Linked DNA regions of Macaca mulatta. The protein of the gene in region 3 interacts with the protein of the main gene of each other region in a pairwise test. Links are inferred from orthologs where the notes say so. Each region holds a gene or a part of one and is shown on either strand. Other genes may lie near its edges.

Region 1 (6,249 bases), on a different chromosome or scaffold from region 3:
GGGGCTGTGTGTGCATGTGTGCTCGTGTGTAGGGGCTGTGTGTGCATGTGTGCTCGTGTGTAGGGGCTGTGTGTGTGTATGCGTGCTTGTGTGTAGGGGCTGTGTGTGTGTGCACGTGTGCTCGTGTGTAGGGGCTGTGTGTGTGCATGTGTGCTCGTGTGTAGGGGCTATGTGTGTGTGTGTGCATGCTCGTGTGAAGGGGCTGTGTGCGTGTGTGCTCGTGTGTAGAGGCTGTGTGTGTGTGTGGGTGCTCGTGTGTAGAGGCTGTGTGTGTGCGCATGCGTGCTTGTGTGAAGGGGCTGTGTGTGTGTGCGTGCTTGTGTGTAGAGGCTCTGTGTGTGTGCGTGCTTGTGTGTAGAGGCTCTGTATGTGTGCATGCTTGTGTGTAGAAGCTGTGTGTGTGCGTGCGTGCTTGTGTGTAGGGGCTGTGTGTGCATGTGCATGTGCTTGTGTGTAGGGGCTGTGTGTGCGTGTGCATGTGCTTGTGTGCAGGGGCTGTGTGTAGGTGCTTGTGTGAAGGGGCTGTGTGTGCATGTGCATGCTTGTGTGTAGAAGCTGTGTGTGTGTGCTTGTGGCAGAGGCTGTGTGTGAGTATGCTTGTGTCTAGGGGCTGTATGTGCATGTATGTGCATGCTTGTGCGTGGGGGCTGTGTGTGTGTGTGTGTTTGTGTAGGGGCTCACCGGAGCTCTCCTCTTCTGACTCTGTCTGGCTGCCGCTCCGCTCCTCCTCACTCTCTTCCTCCTCCCCATTCATCTCAGTGGCGGAATCACCCTCTGCTTCCATCTCTTCTGTGTCTTTGCTTGGAGGCTGGATGGGCATCCGGACTCTGGGAGAAGGAATGGAGCTGTCACTTATGGCTGCCCACAGCTCAGAGGGGGAAAGAGGCAGCAGGAAGCTGAACCCAACCTGATCCCAGATGGGGAAAGCCAGGGAAGTGACTGGCCTGGCCACACCTTGAGCACATACTGGGTGACAAGGGTGCAAATGGCCGTCTGCACCTCTCACAGAAGCCTGGGAGCTGTGGAAATGCTCCTGCTCTTGGATGTCACTGGTGATCCTAATCCTGGGAATACTGGCCAAGGCTGTGATCCACATAAAGGAAAGGCCCAGGGGGCACTCTCCACTGCCTATGGACTGGACCTAAATTTCTTTTTGAGATGGAGTCTCGCTCTGTTGACAGGCTGGAGTGCAGTGGCACGATCTCGGCTCATTGCAACCTCTGCCTCCCGGGTTGAAGCAATTCTCTTGCCTCAGCCTCCCGAGTAGCTGGGACTACAGGCACCCGCCACCACACCCGAACTGGACTTAAATTCCTAACTGGGGCTTTCAAGGTCTTTACCAGACTGGACTTGACCTACCGGTCCAGCAACTTCATCCCACCATATAATGGCTAGTGCCTGCACTTCCACCTTCTGCCCTCTGCCTCAGCTGTTCCTTCTGCCTATAATGCCCTCGGCTTCTCTTCCAGATAACGCTACAATCTCCTTGTCTTTCACTGTGCTCTGGGTCAAATCCCATCTCCTTCTGCCTCCTCTTGGACCGCGGGTCGTCAGTGTTCCCCTCTCTTTTCTGTGTCTTCAGCTTCTCCCTCTTAGCAACCTCCTTCCCATGAAACTTTAGATGTGCCTGGGTATTTTCTAGCATTAACAAAACACAGAAACACAAAACTTCACCCATTCCACCTGACTGCTCCGTTTGCCACTTCACAGTTACGCTTTTCAAGGTCTCATGAACACTGGCTGTTCCTACTTTGACCTCCCAGTCGTTCAATGTCATCAATCTCAGCTGAAACTGATCCCGTAGCATTAACCAGTGACTTCCTTGTGGCTAATGCCAATATTTTTCAGTGCTTATTTTAATTGTCTGCTCGGCAACATTGAACACTGGTAAGCATTCCTTCTTTTACTGACTCATCTAACATGTATTGAACATCTAACATATACTGGGTACTGTCAGACGCTATGGTATGCAGGGGCCCCAAGTGTGACTGTCTTTGACCTCACCGAGTTTACAAGTTCCTGGGAGAGAGGGGCAAAGGAGCACACTATAACCATGATATGAGGAGAGTTAAGACCAGGGGCATGAGGGAGGAGTATATAACCAGGACCTGGAGCCCGATGCAGCAGGGAGGCTTCCAAAGATGGACCAGCTGGGTGAGCTGCACTTACTGAGGGAATATTCCAGGTAGAGTTAGTAGCAAAGACCCAGAAATAAGAGAAGGAAAGCAGCTGGGGGCACATGGGTCTAAGTCTCAGTGAGAAATCTGAGCTGCAGAGATTTGGTCGTCAGCATACAGCAAGTTCTTCATGCCACAGGAGACGGTGCGACTAGCAAGGGAGAATGTGTGCAATCAGAAGACGCCCATAATGGAACTCCCAGGGTTACCAAAGGGGCAGATGAGGAGACCCCTACAAAGGAGGAGGCAAAACCCGAAGTCGTGGAGAAAGAGAATTTCAGAAGAAAGCCAAGTACTGCCAAGTAGTAATTGTACTGATAGTGCCAAGTACTGCCAAGAGATCACCTAAGAGGATGAAAACAGTCCTCTCAGCAGATAATCTCTCAGCCCCCTGCAGGCTTCTATTTTATTGTGTTCTTTCAACTTCTCTGGACACTGCTTGTAGTCCTTTAGTACACTGCAGACGCCACTCCCTCCAGGAAGCTTTGTATCTATTTGCCTATTCTCATGTCTGTTCCCCCAATCAGTCTATGAGCCTCACTAGGGCAGGGGCTGCACACGTACCTTATTTACCTAGCACAGTACTGGTTCACTTGATGACTGGAGGATTTGCAAATACAAATTTAACAACAACAAAAAAATTTTGTGAGGCAGACATTAGCTTTTACTTTTCGGTAGTCCCAGGTCCCTGTGATGGTAGCAAACTTTCCTTGACACCAGTTCAAGTTGTGTATAATAAGCCTGGCCTAGGTGAGCGTTTAGTCATATTCCTCAACAATTTCACTAATGATCTGCACCTGACTTGAAAAGCTCGGTTCTCTAAACCAGCTTCATCTTTCCCGTTATCAAGCCTCAGTTCCCAACACTTGCAATGCCTCTTCACTGTTAGTATATTCACTTTGTAAGACGCAGCTTAAATCTATCTCTTCCAGAAACCTTTCTCTCCTCCAGCTGGTTCTGATTATAAGTGAGTTAAGTCACAATCTTCCCATCTTACCCCGGGTGCAAAAAGCGGATAACCATTCCTGCTCTGAGTGTTGAGGAGCTCGCAGGTGGTAAGGGATGGAAAAGGACATTGTAAAGCGCGGTGGTATAAGGGATGGAAAAGCACATTGTAAAGCGCTGTACACAGGCAATTTAGCTTTTCAGAATGGCAGCTCCTCCGGGGCACGCCCCTAGGGAAGGCAGGCCCTCCTCATTCTCGCAGAGGTCAACCCAGCTTCTCCGCGGTGCCCAGGGGGCCTCCCGCTCGCTTCTAGATGTGCGGGAGCGGGCCGGAACATCGCTGGCTAGCCCGCAGCCCAGCACGCATCAGGCCAGTTAAATCTCTGCTTCGGCCTGGGAGGAGGAGATTGTGCCGGCCCTGCTCGACTAACGGGAGAGGCCGAACCAAAAGCCATGCATGGCGATACGCACCGCGGGGACTGGGGCCTCTGGCCTCAAGACCGATATTCCCTGAGAGGTGCCCGTGGTTGCCGGTACCGGCAGCAGCGCCGGTCTCCCGCAGGCGCTGCGCGGCTCCCTTTTCTCCGGGAGGCAGAGCCTATCGGTGCTTCCGTGTGCGTCATCAGGAGGCGACCGTCGGGGGTGCTCACAATTGGACAGTTTGGTCCCGAGGCATGCTGGGATACCGCGGGCCGGTCTCCATAGTAACTGGCCGACATTCGCGCAGGCCTTTGGCCTGCAGAAAAGGGCCTGCTGTTTCAGTGCTTTGCAGACGGCGCCCTTCGTCCGCTGCCACCTCCCCATGGCGTGCAAGGGGAGAAGCCGGCCCCGAACCCCACCCCCAGCTCAGGAGAGTAACGGAGCCAGCTGTGGGTGTGAACACGCATTTATTTACACATTGTCATCGGTAGGCACATACCCAGCCCAGCCTGTTGAAGGGACAGATCTCAGGCTGTCACCCATGGAGCCTGCAGAGTCTTCCCTCCTCTAGAGCCCTTGAGGGCGAAGGCCTGAGAGAACCAAGAATTTTAGGCTTCTGTTCAAGAGCTAAGAACTAAAGTTTATGCCTTCATCTGATTTCTTTCCAAAAAGTCCATTTCATTAAGTACTCAGACTTCTTAGCTCCATCCCATTCATACTTTTTGCTCTCCTACTACCCACCCAAGATTGTTAATAATAACAATAATAATAACAATAATAATACTGCGATAATATTAATACTTCACATTTGTACGAAGCTTACAGAATGTTTTCACATACAACATCTCATCTGAGCCTCCCGACAGTTCCGTGAGGTAGGTATTCTCACCTCCCTTTTTACAGACAGGGTAACCGAGGCTCAGAGAGGTAACGGGATTTACTCAAGGCCACACAGCTAGTTAGTGGTAAAGCTAGGACTCGATCCCAGCACCCCATATTCAAGTCCAGTGTTTCAACACCACAGCTACCTCTGTAAAGTGGAGCGACATTTTTTACCCCAGTCAGGCCTAAACGGTGGCCTGAGGAGCCCAGAGGCTGACTTCTCAGACTAGGGTAGGGAAGGGCTCAGCAGCGTCGGGGAGAGTTGGGGTACTTGGCCTTCAACTCCTGTTTGAACTGGCGATAAAGGATCTTATTGTGCTGATTTTCGGCCTCCTTTTGGGGATGGAACTTCAACGCTTCTTTGAAGCCCTTATGAACCAAGAAACCTTCGTTCAGGACCTCAAAATCAAACCCCGCCACATGCAGCTCGCAGGCCTGTAGGAGGAAAGACAGGTCAGCAAAGTTTGATGACATTGACAGGGCTGAGACTGACTTCTCTAAAGCCACAGTCCAGCGCTCTCACCCCTCTGGAAGTATCCTGAATCTTCCACACCATCCACCCACCTCCCGAACGGTGATCCCTCCTGCTTCATTGCCTCCTCTCCATCCAGGGCCACTCCTCATAACTCCCTGATCCCACCACCCCTCCTGCCCCATTACCCCTGCCCTCTCCCTTATGAGCACCTGGCTGATTCTGTTGAAGCCGTACTGCCGAAAGCGCTCGTCGAAGGTGGGCACCTTGCCTCCTGCCACGTAGAATGGCTCCCAGGGGTCCTGCCAAGGTACCACGTAGGCAGGCCGCAGCAAGCTCTCTTCCGGCAGGTTGACCCAGCGGGAATAGTTGGTGGGTGCCTGGCAGGGTGTGCACAACCCATAATAGAAGGGTCGCACCTCGCCAACCTGGTAGAGCTGCACCAGCTCGTTTTTGTTCATGGGCATACGGCGGGCTCGTCGGATCTCGAAGGCAGGCACCACCAGCGCGGTGCCGCCCCACTGGTTGCTCTGATCCAGCATTTCCCGCAGGCCTCTCCACAGCCCCTCGCTGGGCACCATGTCCACATCGATCACCAGGGCATAGTTGGCCCCCTCACGAGCCAGATTCCTCAGCAGATTATTGGGGTAGGAGACATTGGTGCCCAACGCATAATTAATCCCGGGCTGGGCCACCCTGGCTAGCTTGTCAAAGACCTCCTGGCAGGACCGCAGCAGGGCAAACTCCCCCGGCTCCCGGGGGTCGGGCACGGCTGCCTCGTAACGAGAGGGGCACACGAGGTGCATGGCGACCCTGGCGCGCATGTCGGGGCAGTGGCTGCTCAGCGCGTAGGCCAGCACCGTGGCCAGCTGCGCCTCCTCCTTGGTGGCCGCGAACACCGACACGGACAGTGGGCCCTCCCAGCGCTCCAGCAGACCCGACAGGTGCAGCAGGTTGTCCACGCTGGCGTGCGTGGCCAGGATCACATCGTTGGGTTCCATGGTGGTCTTCAGCAGGCCCCTGTAGACGCGGTAATCGCCGCTGGCGTCCAGTACGCCTCCGGAGGCCAGCGCGGTGCGAAGCTGCGTCTTGACCTGGTCCACGGACCGTGGGGACGGGGGAAAGAACTCAAAATATTGGTCTTGCTCCTCCTGTCCGTGCAGTCCGGACAGCAGCGACAGGTAGAGCAGCTGCAGCATCGCCACCAGCATGAGCGCGGCCAGCAGCAGCTGGTAGAAGGCGCACCTGATGGCGTAGGACATCTGCATGGCTGTCGGGGCTCGGGGCGCGCAGCAACGACCACCCGGCCACAGACTACACCAGCGGCCGCAAGCCCGGATTTACCGCAGCCTG
Region 2 (6,139 bases), on a different chromosome or scaffold from region 3:
ACATCCCAAATCAGATTCCTTGTGACTACACTACTGTTTTTTTTATTTTTATTTTTATTTTTTTTTCTGAGACGGGGTCTCACCCTGTCACCCAGGTTGGAGTTCAGTGGCACAATCTCGGTTCACTGCAACCTCAGCCTCCCAGGCTCAAGTGATTCTCCTGCCTCAGCCTCCTGAGTAGCTGGGATCACAGGCGTGCACCACCACACCCAGTTATTTTATGTATTTTGAGTAGAGATGAGGTTTCACCATACTGGTCAGGCTGGTCTTGAACTCCTGACCTCAGGGTGATCTGTCTGCCTCAGCCTCCCAAAATACTGGGATTACAGGCATGAGCCACCGCACCCAGCCTACCACCATCTTTTATGCGAACTACTCTACTCTCCTAGCTGGGCCTGCTGCTTCCAGTCTTGCCCCTGTACAGTTCACTTTCTGCCAGCAGCCATAATTGTCTTCTGAAACGTCTATCAGCCACTGCTTCCTAGCTTTTGCCTCTCCCAGGTCTCCCATGAAAACCACTGTGGCCTGCAGGCCCTCCACGGTCTGGCGACACTTATCCCTCCAGCCACCATCTCTACCATCGACTTCCTGCACCCTCTGTTCCTGCCCTGCAGCCACACTGGCCTCTTTGCTCTTCCCTGCACATGCCAAGCATGTTCCCCATCTCAAGTCTTTGCACTCACTGTTCCCTCCGGCTAGAATGCTCTTCCGCCAGATACTCACATTTCTAGCTTCCTCGTTTCATTCCAGTCTCTAGTCAGATGTCACCTGCCTTCTCTGAAATCCTTTCTAAAGAAAATGCCTCCCGGTGTTCTTTATCCTCTCATCTTCCGTTATTTTCCTTCCTGGCACTTATTACCTGACATCATTATACGTATTTATTCCTGGACTTGCTTGATTGTCCATCTCCCCGGCCAGTACCTAAGCAGCTTGTCTTAGTCACCACCGCAGCCGCACAGCTAGACAGCACACATGGAAAACGGGTGGATGTGAAGATTTCTTGAAAGCAGCAATTGAACAAACTCTGATGTGATGCCTCCCCTATGCTCTTTCCACTACACCACACTGCTTCCCAGGAGAAAGATAAATGTGTGCACAGTTCATCATTCTCTCCCAACAGATTCAAAGGTCCATGGCTCATCTGCTTCTTCTTCATGCACTACAAAGCCCAGCACCTTGTAAACGCAAGGTAAACAGGAGGAAAGGAATGAGCGAAAAGTAAACACAATAAAAGGTAAATAAGAAAGGAAAGGCAGTTGATGGTCACGGAGAGACTACTCATTTGTATTCAATGGCGTCACTGAACCATTCAGCGGTCAATCCTTCTTTTATTTCCTATGTGTCTATATGCCCAAGCCACAGTTAGAAGTTTCGAAGGAGATAAAAATGAATTCCAGTTGTGGAATTAACAGAAGAATCTGTGAAGGAGGTAGCGGTCGAAATGGTTAAACTGAATACTCATAGACGGGTAACAGGCTCATTGCCATGTGAACTCCTGAAAGACAAGAACTGTGATATATTTTATTCATCTTGGTGTCTTAAGTGCCTCACAAAATGTCCAGAACATAAAGGCATTTGGCAAATGTTTAACAAACTTGGGAGAGGCAAGGCATTCCAGCAGAAGGAAGAAGTCAATAAAATACACAGATGACGGAATACAGGACATATACCAGCACCAGTAAATGGTGAGGACTGGCTGGTAAAAAGGTTCATGAAAGGAAGTGCAAGAAGGGCTCATTGAAAGAAATGGCAAGAAATAAAGTGAGAAAGTAGGCTAGGGCTGGGACACAGAATGCCATGAATGACTGTGAGGGGTTTAGATTTTCAATGAGAGACCACTGAAGACTTTTTTTTTTTTTTGAGATGGAGTTTTGCTCTTGTTGCAAAGGAAGGAGTGCAGTGGCGCGATCTCGGCTCACTGCAACCTCTGTCTCAAGGTTCAAGCGATTCTTCCACCGCAGCCTCCTGAGTAGCTGAGTAGCTGGGATTACAGGCGCCTGCCACCACGCCCGGTTAATTTTTTGTATTTTTAGCAGAGATGGGGTTTCATCATGTTGGTCAGGCTGGTCTCAAACTCCTGACCTCAGGTGATCCGCCCGCCTCGGCCTCCCAAAGTGCTGGGATTACAGGCGTGAGCCACTGCGCCGGGCCCACTGAAGACTTTATACAGCAAAAGGTGACTTGAGGAGACTAATAAGAGCCCCCTGCTCAAATCAATCAATCTACCGCTGCGTCACCCAAACTTCCTGCAATTCTACCATTAGAAATTATTATTTTAGGCCGGGCACGGTGGCTCACGCCTGCAATCCCAGAACTGTGGGAGGGCAAGGCAGGAGGATTGCGAGGTCAGGAGTTCGAGACCAGCCTGGCCAATATGGTGAAACCCCATCTCTACTAAAAAATACAAAAATTAGCCGGGTGTACCGGCGGACACCTGTAATCCCAGCTACTCGGGATTTGCCACTGCACTCCAGCATGGACAACATAGTGAGATTGGCCACTGTACTCCAGCCTGGGCAACATAGTGAGATTCCGTCTCAAAAAAAAAAAAAGAAATTATTATTTTAAGGCATATCCTCTCTAGGAATCTTCCTAAAATCCAAATTATCCTGTGAGGCAATAGAAAACGTTGTCGTCATTCATTTCTATTTCCGTGTAAACTGGATAATCAGTTTGCCCTCTCCTGGCTAGAGAGAAGCCACTAAGGAGATGGAAATTTTGACTGCAGATTAAAGTATAACTTTTTGACTTCGAGGCACTGCCTTGGAAAGATAGTCTGGAGTACAAAAATGAAAAAGAGGTTAATTGGTCCATGCCTTTCCTTGAGAGCCAACCCTGTTCTTTCAGCAAGCAGAACTGAGTAAAGATGAAGAGAAGACAACAGAACCTCCCTTAGTGAGAATGAAATTGATGACCCAGAAGGTAAGAAACATAATAAACTGAACATATTTCAGAAATTAAAAAATGGTTCTGAGGCATGTAGGCACTCATAACTTTATAATCAGTTGAATTTTCCTCAAAAATGGTAAACACTTGCCTAAGTCACATCCAATCACAACTTCATGAACTGTGATTGACAATACCGATTCAAGGAATACGATGGGGCAAGAAGAAGAAATTTATAAAGACAATGCCGAAAATCCACCCAAATGGTGTTACGAACCAGATCATCAGGATGATACCAGCCACAAGATAACCCTGAGAACTCCATCCAGGTTTAATGGAAACCGGATCCTCCATCTGGACGGGTTTCTGCCAGGTAAATCCTGATTCTAGGCCACAGAGGGCTCATCCTGCCGGCCAGCTGGGCGGCAGGATGCGCGGAAAACGCCAGGAAGTGTTTCCCGGGGCGCCCACAGGGGATCCCCGGCTCCCTGCGGAGCTGGGGTGGGGCAGGCACTCACCGCTTGTCGATGGCGTCGATGTTTGAATGAAGGAGCCACAGCTCCTCCGTGTTGTCCTGCCGGGAGGACAGGATCAAGTGGTGGCCCGTCAGGCACAGGGTGCCCTCGACAGCCGGGTAGAAAGGCCGGTGCAGCACCACATTGTCCACCCGCGGGGTCTTAATCAGCTCCGCAAACTCCATGCTCCCCCCGCGGCCGGAGCCAGGGAACCGAGCCCGGCAGGTGCGAGGCGGTTATCCCGCCGCAGGGAGAGGAGCGGAAACACCCGGCGCGGGGCTGGCCCTTGGGGCGGGGCGGGCCGGGCGGTGAGGCTGGGCCCGCCCCAGGCTGGGCGGGCGCGGCGAGGCCTGCAGCCGCCGGCACCAGCGGCAAGGAGACAGGCGCTGGGGCTGGGCTAGGCCCGGGCGCCTCTCCCGCACCGCCCCGTCTCCCAGGCCCAGGACTCGGCCACAGAGAACGCCTCTCCACAGGCCCAGGGACCGCCGCTGCCGCCGGGCTTCGGGTCCCGCTTGGGCACGCGGCGGGCAGTAGGACGAAGCCGCTTCAGGACCCACTTCCACGCCCTGGCCGCTAGGGACTCCTGGCGGAAGTGGCTGCTCGCAGCTGGAGCCCACAGCAACTCCGGGCGGAAGCAGCAGGTCTCCAAACTCGGAAGACGCGGAAGTCGCAGCCGGAAGTCGGTCCTCTCTAGGTCCTCTGGAAATGCCTCCGGAAACACAGCCAGACCAGAAGATTTGGGTTCCTACGAGAAAAAAAAAAAACTTGTCTTTACCTTCACGCCCTCCCGCTGCCCTTCTCACCCATCTACAAATATTCCTTATCAGAAGAGGCCCGTTAAGAGGGGACGATGGGAGGAGGTCCCTGTCTTGTCTCCCTCCGCTTGAGTAGTACCCCCTCCAGAAGCTCTTCAGAGCGTGGGGCTGCTGTAAATTATGACAATTGTTATGCATTAGCCCTGAAGAGATGGCAAGTATGGGATGAGGCGGGGACTGTGACCTTAGGGAATCCTCCAGGGGTCAGGGAGGGACACAGGGCCACGCCACTGACTCCCCGTGAGGGCCGCGCCACGAAGTGTGACCTGGAGCAAGACAGGAATACCTGTGAGAGGAACCCAAATAGATGTAGATGCGATGCACAGAAGAGTAAGTCACTTGAGTTGATGGCGGCCACCCAGTCAATCTGCAGCAGAGCATGGACTTCGATCTGCACCTGTGAAACCCAGCGCATGGGTGCAGTGGTCACCACTGCACAGCCTCAGCGTCAGACACCCACGTTGCGCCAAAAATGTATTCAAATAATTACTCCTTTGCGTGTCCCTTTCCCACCGCCCACTTGAAACTGACATTTTTATTCAAAAATAGGAAATAGAAGAGAAATATGTTTGAGTGCTGGTCTGCTGTGACTTCATTGACCTTTTAAATCCTCACCATCTAGTACCGAAGCACAGGACACAATCTCACAGTATTCACGAAGTAAATTGCCACAACCTCATCAGCTCATCCAACACTTGTCCATGCTTTTGATTTTGCCCTTCTTAACATGTTCCCTTCTTAAAATAAAACACTTTTTAGAACTGTCGTAAGTGAGATAGGTAAATGCCTACCAACTTTCCTTGGTGTCTTTGTGGCATAGTTACTGTAGACTGGATAATAGTTGCCATTTTTTATATTTTTGCAGTTTAATTGCTTTCGTCCAAATAGATGGAATCACTTCTTTTGTAATATATGAGGTGTTTTAATTCATTTTTATAACTAGCATTCCTGACAGCATAGGTATCCACACCCTGAAGTTCCCATTCTGTCGCACAAAATAGCAAATAAGTATTTTTTTGTTCCATAATGGTCACACACAGCCTTTGGATACTGAGATCATGGATACGTAGAATCAGCTTTCTTTTACAACAGAGCTTCACTTTACCCCTCTGGCAATTAATCAATTCTGGGTATTTATTAAGAACTTTAAATTTAATGCAAAGATTGTTAAATATCACCAGCTCAGCTCTGGCAAAGGACTGTTGGCTTTGTTTATCTCCATCTTCATCTAGATATACTGCCATCCCAATCCCAGCCCAGTCTTGGGCCCTTGAAAAAAATGACCTATCATTCCAACTACCAGGGAGGAACTCCCTTTGAATTAATGAATCTGGACGACTTATAAGACTTCAAAAATATGGAAATGACAAAAGTTAAAATGACAAGATGAGCAGTAAACCCTCTCCAGTCCTATCAGAGCAACCTTTTTGAGGTTGCATTCCCACAGAAAATCACTGGCGGCCCAATATCAACATGCACAGAGCTAAAATTCCAGATGCCACTTTGTATTGAAAGATGCCAAAATTCTGTTCAGGCCCTGGGAACCTTGAAGGTATTAGTGCAACCACACCCTAGAAATTAACCCTCACACAATCATGTAAGCTATGCAGTTAACCACACTGCATCACTTAGAAAACCTGTATGCTTTTCATGCAAATCATCCCTAGTTAAGGGCATTTTAAAGGATACACAGTCTAAGTACTGTGAAGGTGGGCCCACTAGCTGGGTTCACATTTTCCCTTGGCCACTTTAGCAGGAAACTTAACCACTTGGGAAAGTGAAAACAACCAACTTACCCACATGTTCACCATGGAAAACAATTTTTGTCTTGGAAAAAAAGGAGCCTTTTCCCTGTGCGGCACCAGTTCCTACTACATTTACCAGCCACTTGGACTGGAACCTGTACACTTGGTTTTTAGCCTC
Region 3 (6,200 bases):
GCTGATCTTTTAATATCATTTCACAGATGAAATTAAAAATACATAATCCTCTCACTTTTTTCTAATCAATGTTTAAACTGTCAATATTGTACGGTGTTCAATTCTAAAGCCTACATCATTCATGTAAATAAGGAATTTTTAAACAAGTGTCAATAACAGACTATCTCAAAAGGAAGTCATTAGATAGCATGTTTAATTTTGCTGCAAAGTATGAAATATAGTGTTGGGTATAATATGGTATTTCAAATCCAGATAATTTCATCCAAAAAGAAAGACTCCAGAATTAGGTAACTTTATTTATTTATTTATTTAGAGACAAAGTCTCACTCTGTTGCCAGGCTGGAGTACAGTGGTGTGATCTCGGTTCACTGCAACCTCCATCTCCCTGGTTCAAGCAATTTTCCTGCCTCAGTCTCCCAAGTAGCTGGAACTACAGGCATGCGCTACCACACCCAGCTAATTTTCGTATTTTGTATTTTCAGTAAAGACAGGGTTTCACCATGTTGGCCAGGATGGTCTCAATCTCTTCACCTCATGATCCACCTGCCTTGGCCTCCCAAAGTTCTGGGATTACAGGCGTGAGCCACCACACCTGGCCTAGAATTAGATGATGTTAAATTTATCAAATTTACAAATTCCACCTTCCCCAACACCTGCCCATCAACTTTTTAACCATTACCACAACTTAGGTTCATAAAAAACGAGAAGGGACAGTATCAACAAAAATTGTAAGCTGAGGCTGGGCAGGTGGCTCACACTCGTAATCCCAGCACTTTGGGAGGCCGAAGCAGGCAGATCACCTGAGGTCAGGAGTTGGAGACCAGCCTGGCCAACATGGTAAAACCCGTCTCTAATAAAATACAAAAGTTAGCTAGGCGTGGTGGCAACCGCCTGTAATCCCGGCTATTCAGGAGGCTGAGGCAGGAGAATCGCTTGAACCAGGGAGGCAGATGTTGTAGTGAACTGAGATCGCACCATTGCACTCCAGCCTGAGCAACAAGAACAAAACTCTGTCTCAAAAACAAACAAACAAACAAACAAACAAACAAAAAAATTGTAACCTGAAAGATAAAGGTAGGTCGTTACACTTAGCCGCTTAGAATTATTGGGATTAACAGATTTGTATAACCACACATAAAAGCACAAATGAGCTAGGTGCTTGCATTTCTATTTCCCATGGTTATTTTACATGCTGAAAATGACAGAGATGAGAAATATTCAGTGAGTCATTCGATTTAATCTTACATTTATTCTTTGCCTGTACACATAACTCCAGTGGAACTTCTGATTACGGTAAGGCTGACATCAAAACAATCTACAATGTCTGAGAAAAGGCAGACTGTTACCCAATAATGCAGAAATACCCAGTATATGCTGAGGAACCAAGGCCTTTCTGAAATTAGAGTGAGAAAGCTTGATTCTATTTCTGACCACACTGTGACAGAGCAAATTCACTTCAGCTCTCTGATCATGGGTTCGGTCCCCTGCAAAGTGGGTGGACTAAGGCTGGCTGGTTTCTAAAGGCTCTCTGGGTTGTAAGACTGCATGATTCTAGCTCCAGTCTGAGAAGTAACCAGAATCTTAACAGAGTCTTCTGCAAAGTCACCCATCTCATAAACACAGAAAACCTCACTTCCTGATATTCAATGTCCTATCTCCCACTTCAGAAACAAAAAGAGTCAATGTTTTAATTTTTTTTTTTTTTTTTTAGGCGGAGTCTCGCTCTGTCACCCAGGCTGGAGCACAGTGGCGCAATCTCAACTCACGGCAACCTCCGCCTCCCAGGTTCAAGCAATTCTCTGCCTCAGCCTCCCAAGTAGCTGGGATACAGGCACCCGCCACCATGCCCGGCTAATTTTTTTTTTTTTTTTTTTGTATTTTTGGTAGAGACGGGGTTTCACCATCTTGGTCAGGCTGGTCTTGAACTCCTGACCCCATGATCCACTCGCCTCAGCCTCCCAAAGTGCTGGGATTATAGACATGAGCCACCACGCCCAGCCTGAATGCTTTAATTTTTTAACAATCTGAGTTGTTAAGAAAAAAAATGGGTGAAAATTATGTATATTTAAAATACAGGAAAATTTAGGAGAGAATTTAAATAGTGAGGATTAATATATGTCCAATTTTTTAAACTGTGAAACTCATTTAAATTAGCAAAGCACCTTGGATGAGAATAATAATAAAAGAACTCAGTGAGAAAAGCCAGAATTTGATCCAACAGTGATTTGCTAATGATCATCTTTTTTTGGTAAATTTTATTAATGTTTGCTTTGGTAAATTTATTAAAGTGTATAAATAATAGAAAAATGCATGTATCATAAGTACAGCAAGATGCAATTTTACAAAGCTAACACATATGTGATTGGCACACAGATGACAGGCAGAACATGACAACACTCCAGAAACTCCCTTGGGTCCCCTTCCGGGTCTTACCTGCTTCCAAAAGTAACCACTGTTTTAACTTCGAACATCCTGCTTTTGCTTAATTTAAAGGGAAGCATATGGTACGCCCTCATCTGTCTTTTTTGTGTTAACATTGTGTTTATGAAACTCATTTGTGTTGCTGCATGTCGTTATGATCTGTTCATTCTCATTGCTGTGTAGTTTTCTATCATATGACTATACCCCACTTCACTAACTCATCTATTATGAAGGAATCATTGGGTTGTTTTCCATTTTGAACTATTACAAATGGTGGTGCCATGGATGATAAGGTTTTAAAAATGAATTTTATATAATTAAAATGCTTTTTCCAAAAACCATGCGTCCATCAAAAATGTAGTGTATAAAATAATTAAGAGAGTACCTGGAATTCTCTGGTAGCCTCTTGTAACTCCGTTTCGAGCTTTTGGATCTCCTTCTTTAGTTGAATATTTTCCTTTGTCATTTCATCAATTAGTTCCTTAAAAATATCAAACGGTACCAAAGAAAGTAAATAGCCCCAAACTCATTTTTCTGAATGAACTAAAGACTATAAATTTCTCTCATCCTGAGCAAAGAAAGACATTAGACAGTCTCAGAATAAATATGACTATGTGCATAATGCATTTGTTGAATATTTTACATCATCACCTGTCCATTCTAACATTGCCAACTAGTACTATCTCCATCATATAAATCAGGAAACCACCTTTTACACTAGGCCAAAGTCACAGAAATTTGTATAGTAAGGCAAAGATTGAGATCAGATCTTCTGAATATTACTTCAGTGCTGCATCAACTCCTTTCTTAGCTATTTGTGACCATGATAAGACTTTTAAATTGCACTGTAATAGCGGACATATTCTGGGGCAGTTTGTTGTTGTTGGTGGTGGTGGTGGTGTTTTTAATTATCTGTGATTCCCATAGTATCCCATAGTACACAGCTGCCTTAACAAGCCAGACATATGACCTTGGGGAAGTAGTTTAATCTACCTGGCCTCTGTTCCCTCTTGGGGTCTAATGAGATACTTGCTAACTGTGCTCTTAACTTGTTGATGCAAATCCAAGAAATGAGGGTGTGAGTGAGAAAGCAGCTAGTGTTGTAAGCCTTATATGAGAAAGAATAAAAATACGACACTTCTTGTAAGACTTAAATAACATAATGGAAGTTAAAAAATTTTTTAAAGCCTAACAGCCTCCCAAATTCAAGGTAATGTTGGACAAAGACATACAAAACATGCCTTACTGCAAAACTAATAGATATAAATTAATTTTTAATAATACCCAGTAATTTCCTTTTTACCTTATTTTGTTCATCTTTTATAAATTCATGTGGCCCATGCTCCTTAAGAACTTGTTGTGTGTTGTCTTTATCAGCTTCCATGATTCCCTAACATTATAAAAAATAAATATTGTAAGCATAGCATATATACACAAATTTCAGAACAAAGAAATAACAACTTTTACCCTTTTATGGAAGAAACATCTCTCTTCTTTGCTATATCTTTTTTCCTATCATCAAAGGCTTTATTCTCATATGGCTTATATCCAAACAAAGTCTGTATTTCAATAACTCCTTTTTTTTTTTTTTTTTTTTTTTGAGACAGAGTCTCACTCTGTCGCTCAGGCTGGAAGGCAATAGTCTGATCTCGGCTCACTGCAATCTCTGCCTCCCAGGTTCAAGAGATTCTCCTGCCTCAGCCTCCCAAGTAGCTGGGATTACAGCTACCTGCCACCATGCCCAGCTAATTTTTGTATTTTTAGTAGAGATGGGGTTTCACCATGTTTGTCAGGCTGGTCTTGAACTCTTGTCTTCAAGTGATGCGCCCCCCTCAGCCTCCCAAAGTGTTGGGATTACAGGTGTGAGTCACCACCACGCCTGGCCACTATTTCAAATAACTTTCACATCTATAATATGTAAAAAGATTCTAAAAATCCTTTGCTTTTCAACAAAATAATATACAGAAACTAATGAACATTAATGTTCCTTTGTAGTTCATATTCCAATCATAATATCATGCTCCATTTTAAAAGAATACTATTTTGGTTTTCCAACATTTTTCAAAGGTTTTGATTAAAATATTTAATTCTCCCTATTGTTCTCCCCAAATATAAACAAAGTCAAAGTCAAGAGGCCTCCAACATATGCTTTCTCTACACAGGTGTTCTTACCTGGAGCTTTCACTAACTCTCCCGCTGGGTCCATAAACATGGATTGGGAAGAAATTACATGTTTATTTCTAATAACCTCTAATTGAAGCTTAGCATTCTCTTCAATTATGAATATTGTAACAAACTATAGTAGTATTCACAGCACCTGTGATAGTCACCAGTAGAAAGCACAGTTTCATAGAATATTGTTGCAGATATGCTAAAATAGTTTGTGTCTAACGTTGCTTCTACATTAGTTACTAAGCTCAACACTAGGTCTTGTAATACATTGTAATACATTGATATATATCACTATATCAAACATTTGCTTTTAAAATAGTCTGATAACCATATTTTAATACAATTGATTTCTGGCCAGGCGCAGTGGTTCACGGCTGTAATCCCAGCACTTTGGGATGCCAAAGCAGGTGGATCATGAGGTCAAGAGTTTGAGACCAGCCTGACCAACATGGTGAAACCCCATCTCTACTAAAAATACAAAAAAGAATTAACTGGGCGTGGTGGCAGGTGCCCATAATCCCAGCCATATTTCAATACAATTGATTTCCTTTGTAATTCTAAGTATTTTATTTTATGCATTTAATGTTTTGTTTTTTTTTTTTTTTAGATAGGGTCTCACTTTGTTGCCCAGGCTGGAGTGCAGTAGGGCACGAACACGCTCACTGCAGCCTCAACATCCCAAGCTCAAGTGATCCTCCCACCTCAGTCCCCCAAGTAGTTGGGACTACAGGTGTGCGCCACCATGCCCAGCTAATTTTTGTATTTTTTGTAGAGATGGGTTTTCACCAAGTTGCCTAGACTGGTCTCGAACTTCTGGGCTCAAACAATCCGCCCCCCTTGGACTCCCAAAATGCTGGGATAGGCCACCATGCCTGCCCCCACCAAATTTTTTTTTTTTTTTTTTTTTTTTTTTTTGGAGAAAGGCCCATAGGATTTGCCAAGCTGGCAAAGGAATCCATGGTACAAAAAATTTAAGAACTCTTGCCTACATATGAAATTACTGAGATGAAAAACTCCCAGATCAAAAATGGGACAAAGGATATCATGATTCTATGTTTTTAGATACACATTAATAAACAGTCTGCAATATAATTTTCCAAGATTTCAAGTGGCTAAATTCTCAATATTCTTGAAAGAGAAATAAAAGACATCTATTCCTCCTTAAAAATAAAATAGAAGACTAGCAAATACTTAGCCATGTCTCAGTTTAGTTAGAAGAGTGTCAAAAAAAAAAAAAAAAAAAAAAAGAGGAGAGTCGCATAACACCCAGATCTTGGTTTCTAATAATATTCTTCAATATAAGAAACCAGGGCTCATTGGAGCAATGGCTGATTCTGGGTCTGGGGCATAAAATATACAAAATAAGCCTGGAATATCTTGTAGAGCTAGAAAAGTAAAAAGCACTAAAACACATGCACAGACACATACAATATGATGGGAGTATGTGAAAGGGACATGGGGAGCCAACTGAAAGACGTCCAGTGGCCAAAGGTACATACAGATAATAGGAGCCAAGTTTTTCACCATTGAGAAGATAATTATAAATATGGAAAGGGAGAAAACGAGAATAAATACTGTTGATTGGAACTAGATTTCAATGTAATCCT

The links.
Region 1: the proteins of NMI (region 3) and BRMS1 interact in binary tests that used the Homo sapiens proteins (3 or more experiments, as listed by UniProt). The link is inferred for Macaca mulatta from reciprocal best matches to the Homo sapiens genes NMI and BRMS1.
Region 2: the proteins of NMI (region 3) and MTMR9 interact in binary tests that used the Homo sapiens proteins (3 or more experiments, as listed by UniProt). The two-hybrid records come from large-scale screens. The link is inferred for Macaca mulatta from reciprocal best matches to the Homo sapiens genes NMI and MTMR9.

The regions. Positions count from the first base shown.
Region 1 is NC_133419.1:8,077,553-8,083,801, reverse strand, and holds the start of BRMS1 (breast cancer metastasis-suppressor 1), read right to left. Parts: upstream 3,683-6,249; 5' UTR 3,594-3,682; intron 828-3,593; 5' UTR 821-827; coding exon 682-820; intron 1-681. Other genes in the region: B4GAT1 (beta-1,4-glucuronyltransferase 1), read right to left, coding at 4,668-4,859, 5,109-6,164. UniProt on the Homo sapiens protein: Transcriptional repressor. Down-regulates transcription activation by NF-kappa-B by promoting the deacetylation of RELA at 'Lys-310'. Promotes HDAC1 binding to promoter regions.
Region 2 is NC_133413.1:10,001,815-10,007,953, forward strand, and holds the start of MTMR9 (myotubularin-related protein 9), read right to left. Parts: upstream 3,683-6,139; 5' UTR 3,587-3,682; coding exon 3,405-3,586; intron 1-3,404. UniProt on the Homo sapiens protein: Acts as an adapter for myotubularin-related phosphatases. Increases lipid phosphatase MTMR6 catalytic activity, specifically towards phosphatidylinositol 3,5-bisphosphate and MTMR6 binding affinity for phosphorylated phosphatidylinositols.
Region 3 is NC_133417.1:56,240,457-56,246,656, forward strand, and holds the start of NMI (N-myc-interactor), read right to left. Parts: upstream 3,813-6,200; 5' UTR 3,806-3,812; coding exon 3,725-3,805; intron 2,903-3,724; coding exon 2,807-2,902; intron 1-2,806. UniProt on the Homo sapiens protein: Acts as a signaling pathway regulator involved in innate immune system response.